Linked DNA regions of Oryzias latipes. The protein of the gene in region 1 purifies or fractionates together with the protein of each later gene. This does not show direct contact. Links are inferred from orthologs where the notes say so. Each region holds a gene or a part of one and is shown in the gene's direction. Other genes may lie near its edges. The genes, in order: ATPase family AAA domain-containing protein 5, rfc5 and wdr48.

Region 1 (3,954 bases):
CAGACAGTTTTCATAAATATGTATGGCTTTTTTTAAGCTATTAGAAATAGCATGTAGATAAGATTCTAATTCTTTAATTATTACAGGGGGTAAAAGTTGTGATAAGGAAAACTTTGATTTGTGAATATGAAATTTACCAAATATAAGTAGATTAATTGCCAATTTTACATTTGATCTTGTGTTTTTTTCGTGTAGGCCAAATATGATATGTTCAAATTTCATCTGATATTGTGAATCTAATTTGTAATTTAAAAAACGTGCACACTCTTTCCAAAGTTTTTTATTACAGTTCCAAAATAGGTGACTGATTGTTTCTGGGTGTTCTTAACAAAAGGTAGAGTTGGGGTCAATATAGTCTTCTTATATCTGAGCATGTATTGATTAGTGGGATAGATTCTATGTAGGAGTTTGTAGGAGACGTCTCTCATGTTGTTATTTATTAATAATTTCTGATGCAGGGTCCAAACATTTTTCCAGGGCAAGTCAGGAATAAATTTTCTCCATTAAAAAACAGCAGAGGGAACAGAAAAAACATTTTGCTGAAACAGGACACGTATGATCTTGTTATTTTTTTCGGGCACAGTTGAAACAAGATTTTCCAATAGTGGTGTCACTTAGAGATATGAAGGAAATATTTGCATCAAGTACAGTATTTTTAAAGAGTTCACAGATTTCAGTGGTAACGGCGTCAAAAAAAATGGCATGCTCTCTTGGAGGAACAGCAAGGTTATATTTAAGGTTAAATTCATCATGACCCACCAGTAGGATATTATTGGTATCTTCTTATTGACTAATTATTTTAGTGAGCAAAGTTTTTTTCCATCGATTTTTTACAACGAATTTCTAGGACATTGAAATGTTGTGCCTCGAAATTAAAAATATTGAAACATTTGAGAGAGAAAATAACAGGGCATAACATTTTGCTGTTTGAAAATCAAGGGTTAAAAAAAAATTCAGAGGTTTAAAAAATTCCGAATCTGATGGAGCAGAAAAACCCATATGAACATTGCGACAGTGTTGTCTTTAGAGGGCGCTCTAAATGTTTCAGTATCAGTAAATTGCAAGTCCGCACGCCATCTTTGTTTGGGGTAAACTACGTCACAATATGACGAAATCGATCTCCGTCTTGTGATTGGTGGACGAGTGTCCTGTCAAAGGTCACATTTATTTGGCGCTTTTCACTCTCGGTCAGTCTGGCGCGTTTTTGAATGGACTGTTTATGTCAAGAGAATATATATACACATATTTTTTTCTAATTGGGGCGCTTACTATTTTATAGACCGTGAGTAGAACACGGTGGCCTTTTGCTTCTCATAAGGCGGTAAAATATTTGAAGCTTTCGCGGGAACTATGAAACTATTATTCGCCGAAATCTGCTAGCTTGTTGTTTTACAGTGAAACCGATGACAATGGTGGAGTGGTCTTGGAGCAGAACAATATAAAGAAGCTTAAACAACCTCACAGGTAAAACAAGTGGCGGATTCGACATCAATGAATGGGCTAGTATTGCTAGCATTTATTTACAATGTTTCAGTTTTGGGCATATTATGTTACTGATGATATATTTTCAAAAATATATTTTTTATGAACGTCCAAAAACCCCACCTTACAATTCTGTGAAACATGATAAACGGTTGCTAAAAAAATGAAACCTAACAATGGGCCAAAATTTTGCCTAAACAGATAAGTTTAAGCATTAGCTTCCTTTTTACTGTATGTCCAAGTCAAGTGACACTTTTAGGCTAAGGCTTGCCTGTTTCTACTAGGGAAAAACGTCCAAAAGATTTGATTTAAATTAAAAATAAAAAAACAGCAGTTTTTTTTTTTGTATCTTTGTATGTGTATATTTGCTCTAATTCAGTTTTTATGTTTTGCTTTGCTTCAGGTCCTGTCAGATTATGGCTGGTGTTGTGGCTATGGCCTCTGTCATTGAGGACTTTGACACCCAGGTAGAGAAACAACAGCAAGCTGGTTTTTCTTTCCATAAACTCTTAGTCATACGTCAGCGGGTGTCCTGTGAATCCATGTTATGTATTTTATGTATGTAGTTGATTCATGGAGGCACGTCTGTCTCACATGTTCTTAACATCTGTCAAATTGTTTATTTTGTTTTTGCTTTGAATTTTAAATAATTATTTTTATGAACTCTGTCATGCTTGGCCCTAAGTTATGCAGTTATATTTCATATAAATCTAAAACTATTGTTGAGACCTGTGCATTAAGGCTATGATAGGCAGTTGTGGTGTTTAGGCTGTTTTGTTGTGTTTGTTTCCACTGAAATCTATACCGTAAAAAAATAATCACTTTGTCTTTCCTTCAACAGCCTGGCAAGAAGTCTCGCAAAGATAGTGGTGGTCCTGCTGCCAAGCCAATCACAAACTATTTCTCTCCTGTGCCTAAGCCGGTGGAGAAACCCTTTTCTCCTCCTCACTCCAATAATATTATGAGCTATTTTTGTCGAAAAGCTTCCTCGTCTAAAGAACAGACATGCCCGCCCGAGCCGTCTTTAGAAAAGTGTCAGGAGTCTCAAGAGGAGGAAAAACAAAGAAAGTCAGAAGGAAAGAGAGCGCCGTCTCAGAAACGTGGTAAAAAGAGTGGGAGAGGTGCCAGGCAGCTCGTACCCGCTGAAAGTATCGGTGATGTGGACTGCATGATAGTTGAAGAAGCCCCTGAAAACACAGACTCTGCAGCAGATCTACAGTCTACTGTTGATTCGTCAGAAAGCGATCAACCTCAGAAAAAGGATATAAAGTCTGAATCAGCACTTCAAACTTCTGAATTGACTCCAAGAAATGAATCAAAATCTACTAAAGCTTCACAAAAACAAAGGAAGAAGAAGCAAAATCCTTCCGAGCCAGAGAAAGAAGCAGAGTGTGATGTTAGTTTGAAGGCCAGTGATGAAGAGGCCGCATGTATTAAAGACAGCACGGTCAAAATCTCATTCGAGGAGTTTCTGCGCAGTCAAAGCAAGAATGAAGACAACAAAAGCGATGATGAAGGCATTAAAACGATGTCAGAAGAGAAGACAAAGGCTGAGCAGTTGGATATCCCCACAGCTGAACAACACGTAGATTTGTTGGCGTCTCCTCTGCAGATCTCGCCTCGAACTGTCACCATACAAGCAGAAGTGCACGCAATCTCACCCGACAGGGAAGACGTCAAAAGAGTTGGAAAACTGGCTTCAATCTTCAACCAGAAACGAAGCTCTAATAGTCCCGTAGAGACCAGCACATCTCCCCACACTGATTCAGGACCCAAGCTTTCTTCTCCCACCGTGAAGCGGAAATCCAACGTGGTTCTTCAGGAGGAAGATCTCGAGCTCTCTGTGCTTGAAAGCGAATCCGCTCCAAAGTGCAGTGAAGCGGAGAGAAAACAGTTCATGGCAGCTTTCAAGCAGCCCGGCGTGGATGGGCCCAAAAGTAAACCTGTCAGGAGCCAAGGTAAACAGAAAGAAGCCGCAGAGAAAACGCCGAATGCTGCAGGCAAAACGGCTGATGGTGAGGATCTGATCATGCAGCCTACGGTCGAGGAAACCCAACGAGAGAAGAAAGAAGCCACAAAGAAACGGCCGAAAAAGGGAAGGATTGAAGCTACAGAGAAAAACGAGGCGGCCAATACTTTGCCTGCAGGTCCAGATGTGACAGACGCCGCAGCTGCTCCACCTGTGCCAGTCACGAGGAGATCCAAACGAGAGGCCGTCATTCGACAAACGTCTCAGAGCACGCCAACGACTCCTGTCAGAAAAACAAGGAGACAACAGGCGTCTAATGAGGCCGTGACTCCTTCCATATCACAGGAAAGCCCTCTAAAGCTGGTGCCTTCCAAGACACGCAAGTCCAAGTACTGTGTGTTTGTGGCAGAGATCATAAGCTCACCAGATACCAAGCAAAGTCCAATCAGGTGATGCATCCATTTAAACTGTCCTTAAGTAAAGGTGCTTTTGGGCATTTTTTT
Region 2 (3,994 bases), on another chromosome or scaffold:
TGCTGCAGGCTTAGACTCTGGCTTTGAGCCGTGAGAGGGTCGCCTCCATTGCAACAACAGTCCTCGCAGCTCCAGCTGGATGATCAAGGATGTAAACTAGACCAAACTCAATGTGAGGATGCGGAGCGGGGCTGAGCGGTCTGCTACAGCATCCATCGGGCGTCCTTTCCGTTCTAATGGATGCTGAGGAAGGGGGGGGGGGGGAGAAAAAAAAGGGGGGGAAAGGAACCAAATTTGCTGCTCAGCGCATCCTAAACAGCCGGATCGGGTAGAACCTGGCGGTTTTAAAGGTGCTGATGTGCGGATTGGATGCAGGTACTCCCTGTCTCCCTTGGCAGCAGCTGCATCCCGGTTCGCTCCCACCACACCGACATGTTTCCCGTCAATCAAAGCCACAGCAACAGCATCGCAGCGCCGCCGTAAGGGGCCGCTCTCGCGTGATCACGGCGCGCTCAAGTGGGTTCTCGTCTGCTGGACGAGAAACGCATCATCTGCGACAAATGATCTTTATTTTTCAGGGTGATATTTCATCAAATTAAACATAATTCAGCAATCTTACTAAAATGCAAACGAAGTGCCTGTTAAACTAAAAGGTTAAACAAAATTTGAAAACATTTTTTAAAACATTTATTGTGTGTACTCACCCAAGTTATTAAATAATGGGGGGGGGGGGGGCATGTTTTACTTATTTATTTATTGTTTTTGGTTGTCGCCTGGTTAGGTAGCTAAATAGTTAACGTCTAAAGCGTATATTCTAAATGAAACGTATTAAAAACCAAACAGATTAAGAAACTTGTGTATTTTTCTATTAATTTAATTTACCTATTTTACGAAATACTTATTGCACAAGTTAGATAGAAATGTATGTACATCAGGGGATTAAATATTGTTTTTTTCCTGTTAAATGCTTTAAAGTCTTATACAAATCTTTAAAATTAGTCTGATTTCCACAGCACATTAATTTTCGTTCTGAAATGTTCAAGAAAATCGGTCAAAAATGTTTTCGCCTACGGATAAATATCAAACTAACACAGAGATTTCTATTTTACAAGATAATCAACTCAAAAATGTTTATAAAATAAACAAAAAACAATTTTAAGCTTTACTTTAGAAAATATTAAAATTCTTCAATTGATATTGTGGTTTTTTTTACAGTTTACCTTCAACATATCACCATGATCCCACCCACCGGAAAGCAAAACGACATTCTGTTGGTGTTACGTCATGACGTTGGCGTGCGTTTCTGTCGCGAGCGCGGCAAAAGGAAGCGACATAGAACAGACGGGGTTTTTCCTCTACTTGCCCGGCTAATAAATAAAGTTACCGGGAGTCATGGCGTCTACGAGTAGGACCCCGTTACAGAGCAGAAACCTGCCATGGTGAGCCGCGACGAACGAGACGTTTGAGAAGCGGCGAGAATGTCGTTGTTGTCTAAGACTAAGCTAGCTGCTCCTTCAAGTTCTTGTTTGTCTCCAGTCAGAGGCTGTGCTTTTTTTTTTTGTTTTGTTTTCTTTTAAGTTTGTTCAGCTTTTTAAAGGCCTACACACTTCTTAAAAAGAAGGGAAAAAAAGAAATATTCTACTAAACAACGTCTTTGTTTTTGTGCTAAAAGTGTTTGTTTTGCATTTCAGGGTAGAAAAATATAGACCACAAAAACTCGATGATTTAATTTCACACAGAGACATCCTGAGCACCAGTAAGTTTGTTCATTTAAGGAAGCAAATCGACTCTGTGGTGTCCAGAGTTCTGAAGGTCTCCATGTCTCTTCAGTCCAGAGGTTCGTCAGAGAGGACCGGCTTCCTCACCTCCTGCTCTACGGGCCTCCTGGAACCGGAAAGACCTCCACCATTCTGGCCTGTGCCCGGCAACTGTACAAGGACAAGGAGTTCAACTCCATGGTGCTGGAGGTACCGTCTCCACTCAGGATCTTTAGTCTGCAGGGATTTTCTCATCTCCAAGGGTCCTGATTCTGATTCTCTTCTGTTCAAGCTGAATGCTTCAGACGACAGGGGTATCGATGTGGTCCGAGGTCCCATCCTGAGTTTTGCCAGCACCAGAACCATCTTCAAGTGAGTCGGTACCGCTCCAGCTCTCTGTGACCTTCTGCAGAGATTCCCTCCAGACAACTCCAAACTCCTTTTTCCTCCCTTTGATCCCCAGGAAAGGCTTCAAGCTGGTGATCCTGGACGAGGCCGATGCCATGACCCAGGATGCCCAGAATGCATTGCGGCGAGGTGAGCCATCTGTTCGCCTAAGTATGGCTTGCTGTGAGCGACACGGCTCACTGGGCAGCCAAATCATTTGGCTGATGATGCATGGGTCTGCATGAAAACACAACCGTTTTCTAAAATAATCCTTTGCATTGATTTTGTTGATTAAAATTTTTTTTTTCATAGGTGTTGAAAGTAGGTTATCGTCAACGATCTCATAAACGAATTAAGATGTTTGCAGATTTTCAAAATAAGACGATTTTAAGTAACTTTATCCCATTGAACTAACGTTTTGGCAGGTAACAGTCTGTCTTTTTATTTTTGTAAACTTCCTGCTGTCTCCCGTACGCCTCAGTGATTGAGAAGTTCACAGAAAACACCCGGTTCTGCCTCATCTGCAACTACCTTTCCAAGATCATCCCCGCCCTGCAGTCCCGGTGCACCAGGTTCCGCTTCGGGCCTCTGTCGGCGGACCAGATGATCCCCCGGCTGAGGCACGTCATTCAGGAGGAGAGGTGAGGAAAACCGGGACCGCTTTCGGCCTCTGAAGTCTCTCACTTTCTGAGTCTGTCAGAAGCATTAAAAACGACTGTGATGTTGACATGAAAAGATGCTTTCAAAGGATTTTTGAAAAATTAGGACTATAAATGGAATGAAAAACTTTACATTCTCGTTTCTGCCATTCGCATTCATCGCTTTTTAAGCTTTTCATTAAGAATCTCTCAGTTTTCTTTTTTTCTTTTTTTGATCCGATTTCACGTTTTTTTATGCTGATACCCGAGTCTCGCTCCAATACTTTTATAACACATTTTAAAAGTTGAATAAACAAATGCAGGTTTTCCCGTTTTTATTCTATTCCCCCTTTATTTTGTCAGAAAAAGAGCACCTCTGTGAACAATTAAGTACAAATAGTGCAACCATCAACTAGAAAAAATAACAAACTATTAACTGGTAAAAATAGTTGATAATTAGTCATGTGAGAAAGTTTGGTGACTGTAGCTTTGGCTCTTCAGAGCTTTTTGGATCAGATGTGATTTTTTTTTTTTTACTTTGGGAAAAAGAAATACCCATTTTTTTAAAAGGCATGAATATGATGAGTATTTATGACTTAACTTATATAAACAGAACCATTTATGTATTTGTGTTGTTTTTGAGAGTTTATTATCTTCTGATCACTTTTTCACAGAGCTTTCTTTTTGTAGACGGTCCCTTAGCAGCTCTTTTCACTGCCGTTTCTCTCTTTAATTCTCCGTATTTGAAAAACACATCGCATTTTTCTTTAAAGGTCATCGTTTACGTTAAGACAAACCAATAGAGACACTTGCTGTCAGTTTCAAATGTTAATTAAAAGAATTTTGAAACCTAGAAGTCCAAATATCCTTCAGACTTTACCAAACTGTGTTTGTGCGCCTCCCGCTCAAGCTAGTGCCATGTTTTTGCTGCGTTTTAGGGCAATAAGATGTTGTGATCCGTCCATGAGATGCAGACGTCTAGTACAGGATTTATCTGTAAAAATAAGCTTTAAATGCATAGCGCTGATCATAATAATTTTCCTCTTTAAACTTCCTTTTGGCCTTTAATGAGCTGAATCTTGTCTGGTAGCATCGACATCACCGAGGATGGGATGAAGGCCATCGTGACTTTATCGTCCGGCGACATGAGGAGGTCGCTGAACGTCCTGCAGGTGGGACCTCCTCACTCCTCCTGCCGGGATGTTCTCCAGCAGAGAGGAAAGACTTTTCGTGTCCTTTCAGAGCACCAGCATGGCGTACGGGAAGGTGACG
Region 3 (4,074 bases), on another chromosome or scaffold:
TGCGCAGACTAAACCTGTCCATTGACGAGGCCAAATACACTTATAACGGGGGGGGGGGGGGGGGGGGGTGCAAAGGATTCATTTATATCCATATTCGCACACCATATTCGCACACTTTTTTTAAAACTTTTTTTAAGTTACTAATTTACTATTTTCAACGAGGTGCCGTTGAAAATAAAAAAATGCCCTAAACAATATTCTCCTACAGAAATAAAAGTAACAAATAAATATAGAATTAAAAGAAAGTCTTTCCCTGGTGTTTTTTTTATACAACACAGCGTTACTTCCCCTGTCAAAATGGGGAATTGATTGTTTTTAACAATTATCTTTTTTTTTTTTGCTTTTATATCAATGTAGTATATCTTTAAGTTCAACAGCACTTACATTTATGCAAGAGAATATCAATATTTGACATTGTTATGTGACTATAATGTTATATATAAAAACAAGTATTTTCTTTTTTTAATCACAAAAAGAGTCAAAGTTCTTAATTGAAAAGACTGATAGGTATTGCATTCTCTATTATCCTGCAATACCCTAAAACATAGAAGGCTGAAAAGAGTACACTGTATTTTTAATTTTGTAGACCAAAAGGTTTATAGCACTACTTAGACATCATAAAGTTTTTAACTGTAGAGTAGTAAAAATAAAACACCACAGAAAGACCCACAAAGCTCAAAGGAGGCTCTAGGGATCATGTTGACTAGCCTAATATCACAAATTCGTATTAAAAATTAAACCATATATCTGAAACAACTTAAAGATATATGTATGTTGAACATTTTATTTAAAAAAATAATTTTAAGCTTTAAAACTGCAAAACCGCAAATGTATTTCCAACAACTGTGAATTATGCTAACGACATAAAATAAAAATACACCTACGTATTATTTATTAAATGTTGATACTTAAAAAACAAACAAACTGGTTACATGCTTGAACAAAAGAAGATGGCAAAATAAAGACATATAAGAAAATAAAGCACATAAAAAATACTGGGTTGTCATATAACTTATTGTCCTCAGCAAAAGTGAGAAGTTTTCTTGCTTTTTGATTTTCATAAATTCGAATGAATTAAAATATAAACAAATCTCCTTGTAAAATACATTTTCAATGTGGTAGATTTTTTGAAAAAAATATTTTATTAATATAAAACTTGCCCAGTATTATCAAAAACATTCAAAACTAAATCAAAAAACAACATGCTAAGTGGACACTAAACATTTAACTTTTTTCCCCTAAACATTTAACTACAATACCCATAATGCACATCGTCGAAACCGTTTTCTTGTTTTCTTTTTTTTTACCGGATGTAGCATCACATGAATTGACTGTCAACATGCAAGATGGCCACACATCACAGGCAAAATGCCGCTGGGCGGAGGAAAGTACAGGTACGTTTTCTGAGTTTTATAAGAACTTAGTGTGTGGGAACAATGTAATTGTTGTCTTTTAGGTTTGCACAAGTGTCTCATACCTGCTGAAGCGGCAGCAAAAAATCACTTGCGGAAGCGGCGTGACAACTATGACTCATGTCATGGTGCAAGCCGGCTAACCCTGTTAGCTTAGCTTAAGTAAGGTGTTAGCACCGTTGGAAAAGGAGCCTCTAACTTACAATTTGCTTCTTCAAATACCTTAGTTGCATATCCGAAAAACTTTACATGTCAGTTGGCCATTTTCCCCTTTGCGTAAATGCCGGTGTGTTTTAGCTAAATCTGACGTAACGGTTACGATGATGCTGGTTAAGCTACACTGTGTCCTGGCTGCGTCTAATTGCTGGTACGACGAAAGCGTCTCCGTATATATCTGCCATTTTCTGCCCATTCGTTATGCTTCACAAGGGACGCTATCTTTAATTTCATAGTGTGTTCTAATTATACCGGGAGGTTTTGTGTCGGTTACGTCTTCGTCCCCTTACGGTGATGCGAGTGCGTGAAGCGTGTTCCACGTCCAAAAGTGGGTGTGTTGTGGGTTCAACACTGCCTGTAAGCCTGAACCAGGCGCCGGTCCAAGAGAGAGGCTGACTGCAGTCGCATCTTTGTGCCACAGGTGTCTTACGTTATTAGGGACGAGGTGGAGAAGTACAATCGAAACGGGGTGAATGCACTCCAGCTAGATCCTGCACTCAACCGGCTCTTCACTGCTGGGAGGGACTCAATCATCCGGATATGGAGTGTCTATCAGCACAAAGTACAGTTTATGACTTCAATTAAATATATACATTTTTTTGTTTTAGAGTTTTGCAGCTGCATATAAAGCGACAGAGATACTCTTTTAAATGATGCTACGTTTTTTGCAGCAGGACCCATACATTGCATCAATGGAGCATCATACAGATTGGGTAAACGATATAGTCCTTTGCTGCAATGGGAAAACATGTGAGTTTATAAGTATTAACAGCAGATTTGATCCAAAGTTTGTGTTTAGCCTCTAGCAACTCACCTCTCCTTCTCCTCCAGTGATATCTGCCTCTTCAGATACAACGGTGAAAGTATGGAACGCGCATAAAGGATTTTGCATGTCAACGTTACGAACGCACAAGGACTATGTTAAAGCTTTGGCGTACGCCAAAGACAAAGAGCTTGTAGCATCGGCCGGTCTGGATCGGCAGATCTTTCTTTGGGACGTAAACACGCTAACTGCCCTCACTGCTTCGAATAACACAGTCACTAGTGAGTACACCTATAGTCATGTGATGGGTTTAGCCCGCTTTCATGGGTAGACGTGTTTGTGATCCACCTTTGGGCTTTTCTGTGTTCCTTCAGCGTCATCGCTGAGCGGGAACAAGGACTCAATCTACAGTCTGGCAATGAACCAGATGGGCACAGTTATTGTTTCTGGATCCACTGAAAAGGTTTGACACACATCTCCAAAAAAAAAAAAATCTATGGTGAACCAATGCACAAAATTTTTTCTTTTTGCTTTGTTTTCATATTTCTTATATTTTTTATCTTGCTTTAGCCTGAAGTTAGATCTGTAAGATTTTAAATCTTGACAGCGTGAGTTTTTGTTGTTTGTTTTTTTGTCCTAAGAATCCTGCTAGTCTATTGCCTCTACTAAGTGTTGTTGTTTTTGGAAGTTTTTTCCTCCTAAAGGGGGGTATCCTCTCTATTGTTCCAACATTGAATGCTCTTTATGAGGCAGTACAATGACAATTCTTCTATGTAATAAATCTGTCACACACATTCATTCACTTAGGCCTTATAGTAGTAATCTTGGCAAAATTAGACTACAAACATTTTAAATATATCTTCTTTGCCTTGAATTTTGCTTTGGTTTTTTTATTTGTTTGAGGCCAAATTGGTTGTTAATTGTTGCTTTAATTCAGCTGCACTATAAATTGTAATCAAACTGTAAGGTTTGTTTATCTACATAAATTTAGCTCTTTCTCCAACCTTCAGGTTCTGAGAGTGTGGGATCCTCGGACATGTGCAAAACTCATGAAGCTAAAAGGTCACACGGACAACGTCAAGTCCTTGCTGCTGAACCGAGACGGCACGCAGGTGATTCACCAAAGCGCTTCAAAAACCTCATCATGCTGAGCCGCAGGAATCCCAAACTCTTTAATCCCGCTCTGCTCCCCCGGCAGTGTCTGTCCGGCAGCTCGGATGGGACCATCCGCCTCTGGTCTCTGGGCCAGCAGAGGTGTATCGCCACGTACCGAGTGCACGACGAAGGCGTGTGGGCCCTGCAGGTCAACGAGGCCTTTACGCATGTCTATTCAGGAGGCAGAGACAAGAAGATCTACTGTACGGACCTGCGGAACCCAGACATCCGTGTGCTCATCTGCGAGGAGAAGGCCCCAGTGCTCAAAGTAACAGAACAAAACACTCTTTTAGCAAACTGTCTAATGTCCCCAAACTGTGGCTTTATAAAATAAATATACACTTTTAGTAACTTTTTTTATAGCACAACAGTTCTGTCTAAATAATTGTAGCTCTACTTGTCAGTTCTAGTAGTTTAATCAAGCTTCCATTTTTTTCCCCACTAACTTAAATCATCCGGACATTGTTGGTCTCTTTTTTTGTTTTATAAAATTTTAACTAAAGCTATCGCATTAAATAACACATGTTG

The links.
Region 2: the proteins of ATPase family AAA domain-containing protein 5 (region 1) and rfc5 purify together in Homo sapiens (affinity purification with mass spectrometry; 4 studies listed by BioGRID and IntAct, counting the BioPlex papers as one, with this or other methods). This does not show direct contact. The link is inferred for Oryzias latipes from reciprocal best matches to the Homo sapiens genes ATAD5 and RFC5.
Region 3: the proteins of ATPase family AAA domain-containing protein 5 (region 1) and wdr48 purify together in Homo sapiens (affinity purification with western blotting; 3 studies listed by BioGRID). This does not show direct contact. The link is inferred for Oryzias latipes from reciprocal best matches to the Homo sapiens genes ATAD5 and WDR48.

The regions. Positions count from the first base shown.
Region 1 is NC_019866.2:13,221,129-13,225,082, reverse strand, and holds the start of ATPase family AAA domain-containing protein 5, read left to right. Parts: upstream 1-1,152; 5' UTR 1,153-1,464; intron 1,465-1,885; 5' UTR 1,886-1,898; coding exon 1,899-1,949; intron 1,950-2,323; coding exon 2,324-3,900; intron 3,901-3,954. UniProt on the Homo sapiens protein: Has an important role in DNA replication and in maintaining genome integrity during replication stress.
Region 2 is NC_019867.2:3,442,310-3,446,303, forward strand, and holds the start of rfc5 (replication factor C subunit 5), read left to right. Parts: upstream 1-1,191; 5' UTR 1,192-1,332; coding exon 1,333-1,379; intron 1,380-1,631; coding exon 1,632-1,696; intron 1,697-1,770; coding exon 1,771-1,907; intron 1,908-1,989; coding exon 1,990-2,069; intron 2,070-2,160; coding exon 2,161-2,234; intron 2,235-2,565; coding exon 2,566-2,725; intron 2,726-3,812; coding exon 3,813-3,894; intron 3,895-3,964; coding exon 3,965-3,994. UniProt on the Homo sapiens protein: Subunit of the replication factor C (RFC) complex which acts during elongation of primed DNA templates by DNA polymerases delta and epsilon, and is necessary for ATP-dependent loading of proliferating cell nuclear antigen (PCNA) onto primed DNA.
Region 3 is NC_019875.2:17,404,495-17,408,568, forward strand, and holds the start of wdr48 (WD repeat-containing protein 48), read left to right. Parts: upstream 1-1,264; 5' UTR 1,265-1,346; coding exon 1,347-1,394; intron 1,395-2,049; coding exon 2,050-2,190; intron 2,191-2,299; coding exon 2,300-2,378; intron 2,379-2,459; coding exon 2,460-2,672; intron 2,673-2,765; coding exon 2,766-2,854; intron 2,855-3,401; coding exon 3,402-3,503; intron 3,504-3,589; coding exon 3,590-3,814; intron 3,815-4,074. UniProt on the Homo sapiens protein: Regulator of deubiquitinating complexes, which acts as a strong activator of USP1, USP12 and USP46. Enhances the USP1-mediated deubiquitination of FANCD2; USP1 being almost inactive by itself.